Caenorhabditis elegans: one gene and its partner. The protein of the gene in region 1 interacts with the protein of each later gene in a pairwise test. Each region holds a gene or a part of one and is shown on either strand. Other genes may lie near its edges. The genes, in order: somi-1 and hda-11.

Region 1 (8,068 bases):
CATTCTAACACGTCCGAATAGATTGTCTGTCTCACTATCACTACATGCCCCTCGATTGCTACTGCAGCAACAGCTACCGCCGTCGTCGCCGCCGCCGCAGCCACCATCACCACCGTCGACGTCGCATCGGGTCGACGTTGGCCTCTCCGAATGCAACTGTTGCGTCGGTCTGTCCGATTGACTCGTATCTTCCTCGTATCTCTCTCACTCTTGTATCTCCCTCCCGTGTGTGTCCCTTCCCATAGGGACCTCTCAATGTTGCCAACTGCCTCAATTTTCCTCCCCGGTTATCCCCCAACCACCTTCCCGTACCCTCATTTACCCCGTATCCAACACGTACTCTTCAAAATATCTTCCTCTTTCCTTCTATCATGATCATCTTTTTTCATCATATTTGTTGTTTTTTCATTGTCTATCTCTTTGTGAACGCATGTCCTGAAGTGTTTCGAATTTTGATTGGATTGCGAGTAGGTTTTATGGTTAGTTTCAAAGAAAGAAGGAAAAGATGGTGGACATCAGGGGGACAAACCGGTTCCACAAACGATGTAGCGATTTTTCAAACGAATTGAACTTTATGTTTCACAGTTCGAACAGCTTTCACAATTTCTTGAATTTTTGAAACTTCCTCGAAGTTTTGAAAATTCAAAATTTTCTGTACCTTAATATTATGTACCTTAATAATAACTTAATATTAATGTAGACGTTTTAGTTTTAAGTGAACTTATATAGCTCAAGTGAAAATGAAAGCATCATAGAACTAAAAACTTTTTTGCAAACCTTAATTGACCGAGGTTATGTGGATAAATGCTGGCCCAATCTATTATTTTTTCAAATTCTTTTTCTGATTAAAACCACCGCTCTGAGCATCAAAAATCTGATTTTATAAATATGAAGGTACTTAGACAGGTGTAGCCAATGTGACAGTGAACCACCACATGCGCATTATAATCTGACCTCTCCAATTACCGCAAAGCATAGAGATGAACCCAAACCAGAAATAATTTGTGCCATACATTTGATATACCCAGAAAATGTTGAGCAAGAGCTTCAATATGGCACATTCAGGCCATGTTCTGTTTTATATCAATGATTCGGTAAAAAACTGAAAAAAATTCTTCCGTGAAATTGAATTTGAGCATATTGTTCAAAGAGAGTGTAAGAGAAAAATTAAATGACAATTCCCAACCCGAGTAAAATCAAAACCTAAAATCATAGATGTTTTTTTATTTTATAAAATTTTAATAAAAAACAAATTTTCAACAATATTCCAAATATTTTTTTCATTAAATTTTTTCCCTAATTTAAATGAAAAATATCCGATTCCAGTACAGTAGGAACCTTTGTTTCAAAACTACGTGCTTCAAGGATATTTTCTCGCAAAAAATATAGTTTTTCAAGGTCTTAAATATTGCGTGATTAGCGCGGCGATTCTTTGCTTTTTGTTTGACCAGTAGAAGCAGTGAGAATAGCAGCAAAACTATCCAATGTCGCTAACTTAACTTCAACCTTGAATTTCTATGGCTTTTCACATTTCATGTGACCAGTCGGTTGTGTCCACACACACACCATGACTTTGCGCGAAATGTTTCACCTTTTCACGACGGAGATCGACGATTTTTCGTCCCCTTCCGTTTGACTAGACTACTGTAAAAAATATTGTTGGAGGGAGAGTGTGGTGACTGCTGTTGCTTCTGTTGCTTCTATTGCTGGTGGTGGAGACTAGCGGATGGCATGGAACAAAATGTCAAATAAGTGAGTTTGTTCGTCTCAACAAGAGCCCGCATACACATCGAGCGTCTAACACAAATTTAGTTTTCGGGAGGGGCTTGTAGAAGACTTCGACGCTACATCTACATCCGGAGCCCTTCGCCATGCAATTCGGACGACTGATTTGGTTATTGAAAGCATGGGGCAAGAGCTAGAAACTACCAGAAGCTACTTTTCCTTTAAAAAATTCTGACAAAAGAACAGAGAGAGGATACCGTGGGAAAATCGGAAAAAGTTCATCATCTGTGTTTTTCCTTCTTCTTCTCTTTTCCTCCCATTTCTCCTTTCCCTTTCATTTTCAAATTGGTCACTCTTCCTCTATTTCTCTTTATATTTTAGTCTCTCTTTTATCTTCCTCCCTCTATCCCTTTCTTGACCCTTTCCCTCGTTTTTTTCTTTCCCATTTTCTTCACCTCCGTCTTCTCTCCTGAAAGAGATGATAGAAAATGATCATAATCTTACAGGGAGTTGCATGCTCAAACCACCCATTATCACCAGCAACGACAATAACAACACAAAAGTGGCTGAAAACTTGAATGATTTGAATAATAAGGTATGAACTCACTAACCTACACTGAAGGATACGGTCATAGGTCCAATCATTCCAAAAGCTCCGCCCATTAACCTTGGGTGCCCCAATGTCCATTGCACTGATAAAACATCAGACAAGTGGTGGGAGGGAAGAGAAGAGCCGTGGCGCTCCCCCATAACGTCTCTAAGTCTCCAAGAAAGAATACTGTAGGTATGTGGGTAGTTGTAGGAGGCACAGGAAGACCTTGAACCGATAGCATGCATCGTTAGGGTAAGGAAATGTGATACCATCTCGCAACATTCTCCTCTCTACGTCTCCACTTACTACGGGTTACTACTACTACGATTTTTCTTACCTTACATGAAAGTTTCTATATTTCAACAAAATTTTTCATTAGCTTTTTTACTTTTTTTAAGTCGAAATTCCAGAACATTCATAGACCATTCGCTGTCATATATTTCTCCGGCAAATTAGCTTCGACCGCCGCCATCTTAAGCATTAAAAGTTAATTTGACCTTTTGTCCCCCTCTCGGTTTTCTCTTTTTTCATGAAAAAGTTTGATTTACGAGCGTTGTCTTGTGACCAGTTGGAATTTCCAAACTTCCAACTTTTACTTTTTATTTTTGTGACTATAGAGGCCACCGGATTATGATAATAGTGATAGAACTTAAATTGTATATGCAAATTTTCGAAAAAAGTTCTAGAGCGGTTAGTAGTTTTTCCATAGTTCTGGAAGTTTTGTTATACGTGTTTGAGAATAAAAATTCAGCTGCTTGAATTTGAATGTTAATAATTTTTTTAAATTTCAAAATTCATGAAAGCTTAAAAACTACCATTTCTAAATTTGTGAATAAGGCCACGTTTGTTTTTTTTTAAATGGTTATCAAGCTTTGGGGTACGGATACTACGTAAGTTTTTCTATTACAAATTCCAAAGGCCCAATTAATTTTGTGATAATTTTCTAAAAATCATTAACTATTTTATAGCAAGATCAATCTAGACCAGAACACGTACGAGCTTTCCGAGTAATTACTTTTTATTTTAGGAAACAGGATGTTTCTGATTATTTTTGTATTCTGGATTTAAAAATTTAAAGATCTGTCATATATTTGCTGGAAAGGTTCAAATTCAATAGATTTCACATCTTCTCGGCGTTTGCCGCCAGCTTCCTACCCAAAGCTTCGCAACTTCTTACCCAAGCCTTGCCCAAAAAATAAAAACATTTATAAGGAGTTGCCAAGACTTGGCTAAGACTTGGGCAAGACACGGGCGAGGGAGTTTACACTAGAATTGTTGAAGTTGGGTAAGACTTGGGCATACTCTGGGTTAGAAGTTGGCAAGAGTTGGGTAAGAAGCTGAAAAGGTCCAAACTTGGGGAAGAAGCTGCCGGGAATTGCCGAGATTATACTTCTGAAGCACTAAACTACATTATTAGTCTGTCTCATTTTTTTCTTTTAAAGCTCACGAATTTTTTATTAAACTCAATTTCTCAAACTTCTCCTTATCTTTAGTGTCCACCACATTGCGCTCCCCCCAATCAACGCAGCTTTCTTTCCATCGACCCTCCAATCATTTCCATGATCACTTTTTATCACGTCTGATTTACTCTCCTCTGGTTGATTCATTAATCTTCCCCTTCTCTACCTAAATTATTTTTCTCTATGTTCTCCGAACCATCCATACTGTTTACTGGTTCCCTTATCTTCCCACAGAATCAGTAGCCACTTGTACCTCTCGCGCGACACCTTCTCAGACTCGAGTACTTTTGAGGCATACAAGAGTACAAAAATACTGATCTAGGTCATTGTGAAGTATAATAATTGAACATTTTTCAGGGGAAAATGTCTGGTCAACAGATTGAATCCTTCTCACCTTGGCACGCTCAAACGTCGTCGTCAGCCGTTACAGGAACATCAGAACTGTTTGGATCCACGTATGCGATGTTGAGTGATCATTCTGTCTATCCAGAACAATGGTCTGGAAAGCAATTATCTCAATCAGTTCTTTTCGAGCAACCCCAAATTCAACCATTGGTTGGTAATTCCTATGATCCTCCAGTACGATTTGATCCACCATATGCTTACCGTGCCACTGCGACAGGTTACATGCCAACAGTACCAGGGCTTTCTACAAATTCAAGTCCATATTATCCAAGGACATCCGGTTATGCCGCTGGCCAACAATTTTATGCTCCATCTCTGTCCGGTGTACCAAATACTCAACAGCTTATATTGGCTGCTCAAGTTGCACAAGCAAGTAATGTACAACAACAATTACAACAACAAGTTCTTCGACCTGAACCACTTCGACCGGCGACACAAAAATCTACGAATGGAGTGCATAGAAGCACCAGTAACAGTAGCGCAGAAACATTAAGGAATAATTCTGTTTCAGCTGCAACTGTTTCACCCTCAGACGATGTGAGTTTTCATTTGAAATTTTATAATTAAAAAGTGTTAGCTTGTTGCATTGCTCATCTTCTGCAGATCATATCTTGAAAATTTTTTTTTAATCAATAAGTGAGCTGACAAAATATTTGATTTTTTCTACAGCACTGTAGTTAAATTTTTTTAAATGAAATCTCTAACAGAAACCAAGCAATAAGTTGTAAAAAGAGACTGAAATAAGGCTATGTAGCTGGAAAAGTTGACTAAGCTTTTATTAAATTATCTCTAGAAATAATACATAAAAATATGGGAATGGTATATTTCTACGATATTTGTTTTATGATATTTGATGTAAATTTTGATAAATCTAATTTAACTACATAGTTTAGATTGTCGGATTGTAGGACATCAAAGAGAAATATTTATTTTCCTGTATATATTGCTAAATATACCATTTTCAGAATTCTCTGAATAGTCCCGCTTTGACGTCATCTGGATCCGCTGGCTCAGGAACTCCACCACTCGGGATTGATCTAAACAACACTGATCTCGAAAGCGGTGACGAAGAACGCGTGATGTGTATGGCTTGTCGAGGTGTCTATCCATCACGTCGAAGTCTCACGGGGCACATTGGACGAAATGAGAAGTGTCGTGAAATAATTGGCAGAAACTATTTAGATGCCCTTGCGCAAGGTGTGAATCCACCGATCCCTGGTACTGATGCAGCTATCAAGTCTGGAGCAATAACCACCGGAGCCGATGGAATGTCACCAGTTTGCCCGTTTTGTGATCGATTTATTAGTCATTACAAAGGAAACATCAGAAGACATATAAATCAGTGTCGAAAGAGTGCAGAGCCAATGAAAAGGCATCGAGTTGAAGCTCATGAAAAACAATCTCCAAAAAAGAAGGTAAAGAAGGAACAAAATGAAATGTATCAACATGAATACAATGATCATGATTCTTCTTCAATGAGTGGTGGAATGATGAATTCACCAAAAATTTCACCTCCATCTTCCTCATTCTATGGAGCCAACTCTTCAGACTTGTGCTCTCCAGGAGAATATTCCAATTCCGCATACGAACCATACCCGACACCAATGCTCGAGAACACAGAAAGAACATCAACAGAAACTGCAGTACTTCAAGATGCCTATATCTGCGAAGATTGTGATTTTGTGACAGTGTACAAGGGAAACATGAAACGTCATTTAAACACGTGCCATCCGCAGCCTGAATTTAAAAGTTTGAAAGGTAATAGTATCGAGATCGACCCAAACGGTTACTTTTTTCAGAATGGGATCAAAAGTTGGAAGGAATGCGAGCTTCGAATCTTGGAATCAGTGGAGATCGGCTACAGGAACGATTGGCAGCTCATAAAGCAAACTCCTCGAGAGGAAGGAAGCCACGAAAGAAGAAGGAAAACAACACAGAAGAGGTTTGTTTTTTTTGTTAGTGAATTGTTTAAATTTAAAATTTTAAATGCAAAAAAAAATTTCAGCTGGATAATTAATTTATCCTGAAAGTTGTTATTAAAATTCCAAATTTCCGTTTGACTGACTTGTATTCAGAAGGTCTTTCTTTTCGACCTACGAAAATTTCGGGAAATCCATTATTCAGTGACGTGTTCATTTACTGAAGTCTAACAGTAAAACTCGTATGACCTCATGCCATCAAAAAATTATCCTTAATGTTCAATATTTCTGTAAACTCTGAAATTTGATGTCCTAGCCTACTCTTTTTTTTCAAAAATTTTGCCTTTATCCCGACTAATTAACAGAAACAAACCACACATGATTCTTTCAAATGTAAAATACAGTCTACTTGAAAAAAGTTGTTTACCTGCCACAAAAACGTAAAAACTAGTAGCCGAGTAGTACTAACTAATCAATTTTGTACTATAGGTTTTGTTGATAAACTATACTGAAGTTAAAAGACCGGAAGCTCATTTAGATACTGTAGAATTCTTGAGTGTTTCGAATGAAAACAAAAATGAGGTAGTTAAAGGGAATGGATGCTTTCATTTGTAAATTAAACAAAAAATTGATTTTAAAAAAATTGAAAATCTTGACAAAATTAAGACAATTTTCTCTCATTGTCAATAAAAAATGTACATCAAAGATGAATATTGTTTCTTTTTCAGAGCGAATCAATTGATTTCAAGAACATTCTCAACTCGGAAACTGGTGCTCTTCTTGAATCGTTAGCATCCAGTTCATCTTCAATGGGAGGATATTCCAATGGAAATAACTTCCAACCACCACCTCCACCCCCACCAATGCTTTTGTAAATATTCTCTAAAATTTCTATTAAAGGTTTTCATCTAAAATGCTCAATTTTTAACTTTCCGTTTTATCAACTATTCAATCTGTCATCGTATTCTGATACATTTTGACAAAGGCAACGATTTTGTCTCGGTCCATCAACATATCTCATTCCACGTTTCAACTCCGTATGCTCATGACGTTTCTTTTGCCACGTCATCTTTCATCTCTTCTGTTCATTTCTTGCTCTAATCTTTCTCTCCCCCAACGATGACCAGTGCCATGTTTTGTGATTAGCAACAAACCGTCTAGTTAGCTTCTCAGAGATTTTTATGTTTAGAAAACCCCCTACCATTACCAATTGTTTGTATCTCTCGCTAGGTCCACACACATTTCACAAAATCCTCTTGTTTTCTCCCGGCTTATTTCCTTGTTCCCTTTATTCTTTCTTTCCTCTTCAAATTTCTACTTTTTATCTACTCAGGTGCTACTCTAAATATATAATTTTTGCCAACATCCTTATCCACAAAATAGGAAACAATTTTTCTATTGATTTGCCATCATTTTATGAAAAGACTTTTATTCTCATTTTAAGATGAACAATTTTCTCAAAAAAATGTTTGAATTTGTTTACAAGGAATAGAAAGTCGAACATATGACCGCCCAGTATCGTGGTAGTATCATGAACAATTCACGATACGGGGTCTTCACAGCAACTAGAATATTCATAATTTGGTAGGCACGCGATTTCATTTAATGTTTGATAGATTCATTTCATTTCACGAGAGTAGATTCCTCTCTGCAGCTGTTCAAAAAACTTCTCAAAATGGTAAGATTCTAATAAAATTGAAAAGAAAACAGTCCTTTCAATATCCCGTATTTAATTTGAGTTTATGTGTAGAATTCGTCCGTTTAAAACTTAGAATATTCTAAAGCGGAAATTAATTCCGCACTATATTTTATAGAATTCAATAATTGGCGAAAGTGTTCTTCTGTTAAAGAAATTATTACTTTCATAACTTGTTTCAGTTTGGTTTCATTCATGAAAGTATTCGACAACTTGTTATTCGAAAATATGGTGAAGATGTGTGGTTGCAAGTTCTGTGAGTTTCAAAAGT
Region 2 (4,772 bases), 2.9 Mb from region 1:
TGGCCGATTTTCGAGATTTTCCTAAACTTACACTTGGGTTATACTTTCATCCATTTTTCACGCATATTTACACACTTATTGAATAAATCTATGTAAAAATATCTAACAATATCCAGAACATGCTAGTGAAACTATTTACTCTCAATTAAAAAAACAAAAACTAACCAAACTAGGTGGTTCTTCACAATGTTTATCAGTCCATTTACCATTGACATGCCTTCGAACATTGTGTCGTTTTGCTGTCGTGCCTATCACTACTCCAAGAATTAAAATGAAAGCTGTACGGAAGCAAATCATGTCGCAATCGACAGAAGAATCAAATAAAAGATATAGGCGAGAAATGACTGTGTCTCTCTGTGTGACCCTTTACCCGATGATGACCTAGTGACATCCACATAAAGTGAAAATTTGGGAGGAGTCGAGGATTCATAAAAATTGAAAGTTTTAGGAAAAGTTCATATTCAGAGTACTTTGTATTATTTTGGATTGTTTTATTTTTAATGGAATCGGGTTGATATAGAATGTTTCAAAATCATCCATTCGATTTTAAAATGAAATTTTGAACTTGATCCTTCTATCTATTTAGTTTCCCCTGCCATTAAACAATAAAAAATAGTTTAATAAAAAATAATTTATAAGGAAAAGATATGCTGATATAACTTTTTTATTTGATACTGATGAGATTCTTTGACTGGAGATTTTCAATTGATTTTGCAATGAGAAGCGCGTTGTCCTTCTGATACCCTCCACTGGTTACCATGCAAATTGGAATTCCTTTTGATTTTGCTAGATTGAACACAACTTCGTCTCGAGCAATTATGCACTGAAAATTTGATTTTCAAAAAAATATGCAACATCTTATTTCAAAATAGACTATACACCAAATACCAAACTCGTATAACAATATTCCTTGCTTTCACACACCTGTGGACTCAATTTCATTGCTCCCAGAGGATCACCAAGTAGACAGTCTGTGCCAGCGTTGAACATAATGAAATCGAAACCAGGAGGAGTAGTTTTCTCTCTATCAATTAAACACTGTGCCAGTTGTTTGCGTAATTCGCTAAATAAAGTCGGTCAGTGAAAGCAGAAAGCCGCTATGAATACTTACGAGAGGTAGGAAGTATCAGTCGTATGACCATTTACATGAACCGCTCTGTTAATAAATTGACGAGCTTCACGATCATGTGGATAGACATATGGATTGAAAACATCAAATACAAACACATTCGGATTGTCAGCAAAGTCTCGTGCATGGCCATTTCCCTTAAAGTATGATTCAAGCAAAAAATTGGATTCTTAAATTTTAATAATTTTTTTAAACAATTAATATTGTGATTAATATTTCGAATTAATATCTAATATTTGAGAAATATCTTTACGGGCTAGACATATTTCATTCACGTTCCAAATGGTTTTCCAAAATGATACCGTAGTCTATAGAATTCTTAACGTAACTGTAAGGTAGCTAAAATTTGAGGACAATTCTAACTTTGAAAGCTCAGATATCGGCCATCTATGATTTTAGGCAAAATACTTCCTTCATGTGATGTCAGACTGTCTCATTGCGGTTTGATCTACAAAACATGCGGGACTTTTTCCCAGAAAAATTGTGACGTCAGCACGTTCTTAACCATTCCAAATCAAATGAGATGTCTGCGTCTCAACTCCCGCATTTTTCGAAGATCAAAGCGGAATGGGATTTTCTGACTACACGTGTTCCTTTGAGTTATATGCTGTCAAAGTTGAGCAGTGAAGGTGCCGCACGCATCAATAGAAAATATACGGTATTTTATATTCTTTCAAATGTTTTTTCCAGTACCTGATGAGCATCTAAATCTACAACAATCGCGTTGGCAATTGCCTTTTTGTCAAACAAATCGAAAATTGCCATGGTGATATCAGCGTAAAAACAGAATCCACCTCCGCCCGAATCTGAAATTATAGGCTGCTGTACAATCCCATAGCGTCTATTTTTCTTGCGGAATAACAAAAACATACGAGAAGCATGATGGAAACCACCACCCACGTTGATCGCCCAACCATGTTTTAGAGCCAAATTGGCAGCTAAAACTGTTCCACCGGCTTGTAAACTGGAAAACACAAATAAATGAATACAACAATTACTAGGAATGATACCGTAGTGGATGCAATAACTTGCTTTCAATAATGCACGGTGGAAGGCAACCGACAAATGGAATCTCGACGATTTGTGCTGCTTTAATAGGATTTCGAACACTTTTCAGATATCTAAAATAATATGAATAAATTTTTTTTATTAGTTGAAATTGTTGAACGCCTCATCTAACTTTTTTTTAGAATGTCAACTATAAACGTTATGAGCTTAATTATTTTCTTTCAATTTAAGTATGGGGCCATACAAACATGATTTTTTCATAAACCAATTCCACGATTCAATCACATTCACAACACTTTCATGTGCCTACTTTCTATCATGTACTCTAGTGAGTTCTTCAAATGTCGGTAGATTTGGCTCAACGAGTGTTTCATCAGTGATCAGATTCATTTCTTTCAAATGTGTAATGACTCTTCTCCATTTCGAAGAATCAAATGGATGTAAATGTTCGATTCCAAATGCAGTTACATTATATTCAGAATGATAGACAATTGGACGTTGATAACTTTTTAAACTAAAGATTTCATCTTTATCTCTGAAATTATTGATATTTTTGGCATTTCCAACTGCATGTTGTACTACAGATTAAATTTCAAAACTCACCGCTCTGCCATTCAAAATCTGCGTAGAATGAGTGGTTAGAGCGGATAAATAAAGAAGTAGTCGTAAAGATTCTGTTTTTCTTGTTTTTGTTATCAGAAAACAGATAACGAATTCTGAAAATAGTGGAAACTGCCAAAAGATGCCAATTGTGGCGAGAGAGCCTGTGGGATGTAGAGTAGGATGAGAAAGGATGGCCTAACTTTTTTATCGGCCATCCGCCGTGTACTTCACCAGGACAAGATGTTTCGTCTTTCAGAAACTCAAATCATCACCAAAGTTTGCAGTTTTTCGAAACAATTAACGGTGGGAAGACGCCGAATTAATTTTATCCGTTTTAAACATTCTTTTTGCTTTTCAAAACATTTTTCTCCTCTTTCTCAAGCTATAATTACTTCTGAATTGGATATTTTAGGAGTGAATCGCTGAACAGCGGATTCGAAGTCTTCAAAAATGGATGAATTACCGGTTAGCATTTTCAAAATTCTTAATGTGCATTCTAATCTTATTTTAGGTACTAAACAGTCTATGCAAAGATCTATATGAGAGTGTCGATCCGCAAGCCCGACACCGAGCCGAGAGTAACCTTGCGGAACTGTCAGAGTCACCCGAATGCCTTCAAAGATGCATGCTTCTCTTTGCACGAGGAGATGTAAGTCGAAATAATAAAAGTGTTAAACAATTTACATAATGATTTTCAGTACCCATACGGACCAATGGTAGCAAGCACCACACTAATGAAACTTCTCGGCGGAAAAACTAGCATCACTTCTGTTCAGAAGCTCGAGCTTGCAAAATATTTATTGGAAATGCTAGGTCAAGGTGCACCTCAATTTCCTCCATATCTCGTCACATCACTTTGCCAACTTTTTGCAAGACTCACGAAACAAGAATGGACGTATCAAAATCCCACAGAAAATCAAACAGAAGACACAAAAATTGAATATCCATTTCGTGATCCGGTTGATAGCCTTGTCAAAACAATCAACATGGATAATATCGAGGAAAGTATGCTGGCCGTGCAACTGTTAACCTTACTCGTTGCTGACATGAATTCAGCTTCGGGAATGGATTCAGTTAACAAACATCGCAAGAATCTTTCGCAGTTCAGGGACGATTTTTTATATGAGATTTTCTCGGTATCTCTGAATGTTTTGAACGATAATGTGGACAGAAATCTGAACGATCGCCAATTGGGTCTTCTTCACGCGGTTCTCAACTTGAATCTCCAATGTCTACTTTTTGATTATATAGGAAGTTTGACAGACGAAACAAGTGAAGACAACTGTAATGTGCAAATCCCAACAGCATGGAGAGCAAGTTTTACTGATGGAAAAATTGTACAGCTTATGTTCAAACTTTTAAATGTGCTTCCACAAGAATCAAGTGAAAAAGTGATGACAATAATAGCTCAATTGGCAAGTATTCGAAGAACGCTTTTCAATGGAACAGAGCGACAGGCTTACGTTCAAAAACTTGTTGAAGGAGTTGTCAGTGTAATTATGAACCCTGGGAAGCTTAGTGACCAGGTAAGAATAATGAAAAATTAAAGGCAAACATATTTATATACCTGATTTAGGCCGCATTCCACGAGTTTTGCCGTTTGATTGCTCGTCTGAAAACAAATTATCAGCTGTGCGAGCTCATCGCTGTTCCCTGCTACAGTCACATGCTAAGGTTACTCGCGGAATTCACTGTACAAAGCCTACGAATGATGGAGTTCTCAGCCAACAGTACATATTTTCTTATGACATTCTGGCAGAGAATGGTGACGTCTGTTCCATATGTTCGAAATAATGATGAGCATCTTCTCAACGTTTATTGTCCAGAAATCATGACAGCATTCGTCGAGAGTCGATTACAACACGTTGAGAGCATTGTCAGAGAAGGAGCTGAGAATCCATTAGATGATCAAGGAGCAACCCTTCAAGTTATGGAACATCTTGCGATTATATGTAGATGCGAATATGAAAACACATGTAAACTTCTCACTCAACACTTTGATCAAAATGCCAACATCTGGATGAATGGATCT

The links.
Region 2: the proteins of somi-1 (region 1) and hda-11 interact in a two-hybrid assay, tested with the Caenorhabditis elegans proteins (one large-scale study listed by BioGRID).

The regions. Positions count from the first base shown.
Region 1 is NC_003283.11:13,385,557-13,393,624, reverse strand, and holds somi-1 (Zinc finger protein somi-1), read left to right. Parts: upstream 1-2,229; 5' UTR 2,230-2,239; coding exon 2,240-2,320; intron 2,321-4,134; coding exon 4,135-4,719; intron 4,720-5,147; coding exon 5,148-5,940; intron 5,941-5,981; coding exon 5,982-6,124; intron 6,125-6,829; coding exon 6,830-6,976; 3' UTR 6,977-7,563; downstream 7,564-8,068. Other genes in the region: Soluble guanylate cyclase gcy-34, read left to right, coding at 7,777-7,779, 7,980-8,053. UniProt on the Caenorhabditis elegans protein: DNA-binding protein which binds to the promoters of let-60, lin-14 and lin-28, possibly to regulate genes involved in hypodermal and vulval development.
Region 2 is NC_003283.11:10,524,289-10,529,060, reverse strand, and holds hda-11 (Histone deacetylase 11), read right to left. Parts: upstream 2,878-4,772; 5' UTR 2,752-2,877; coding exon 2,741-2,751; intron 2,673-2,740; coding exon 2,448-2,672; intron 2,251-2,447; coding exon 2,140-2,250; intron 2,094-2,139; coding exon 2,002-2,093; intron 1,936-2,001; coding exon 1,823-1,935; intron 1,267-1,822; coding exon 1,112-1,266; intron 1,064-1,111; coding exon 925-1,063; intron 824-924; coding exon 665-823; 3' UTR 617-664; downstream 1-616. Other genes in the region: F25D1.3 (Interleukin-17), read right to left, coding at 166-297; xpo-7 (Exportin-7), read left to right, coding at 3,191-3,205, 3,252-3,389, 3,439-4,266, 4,317-4,772.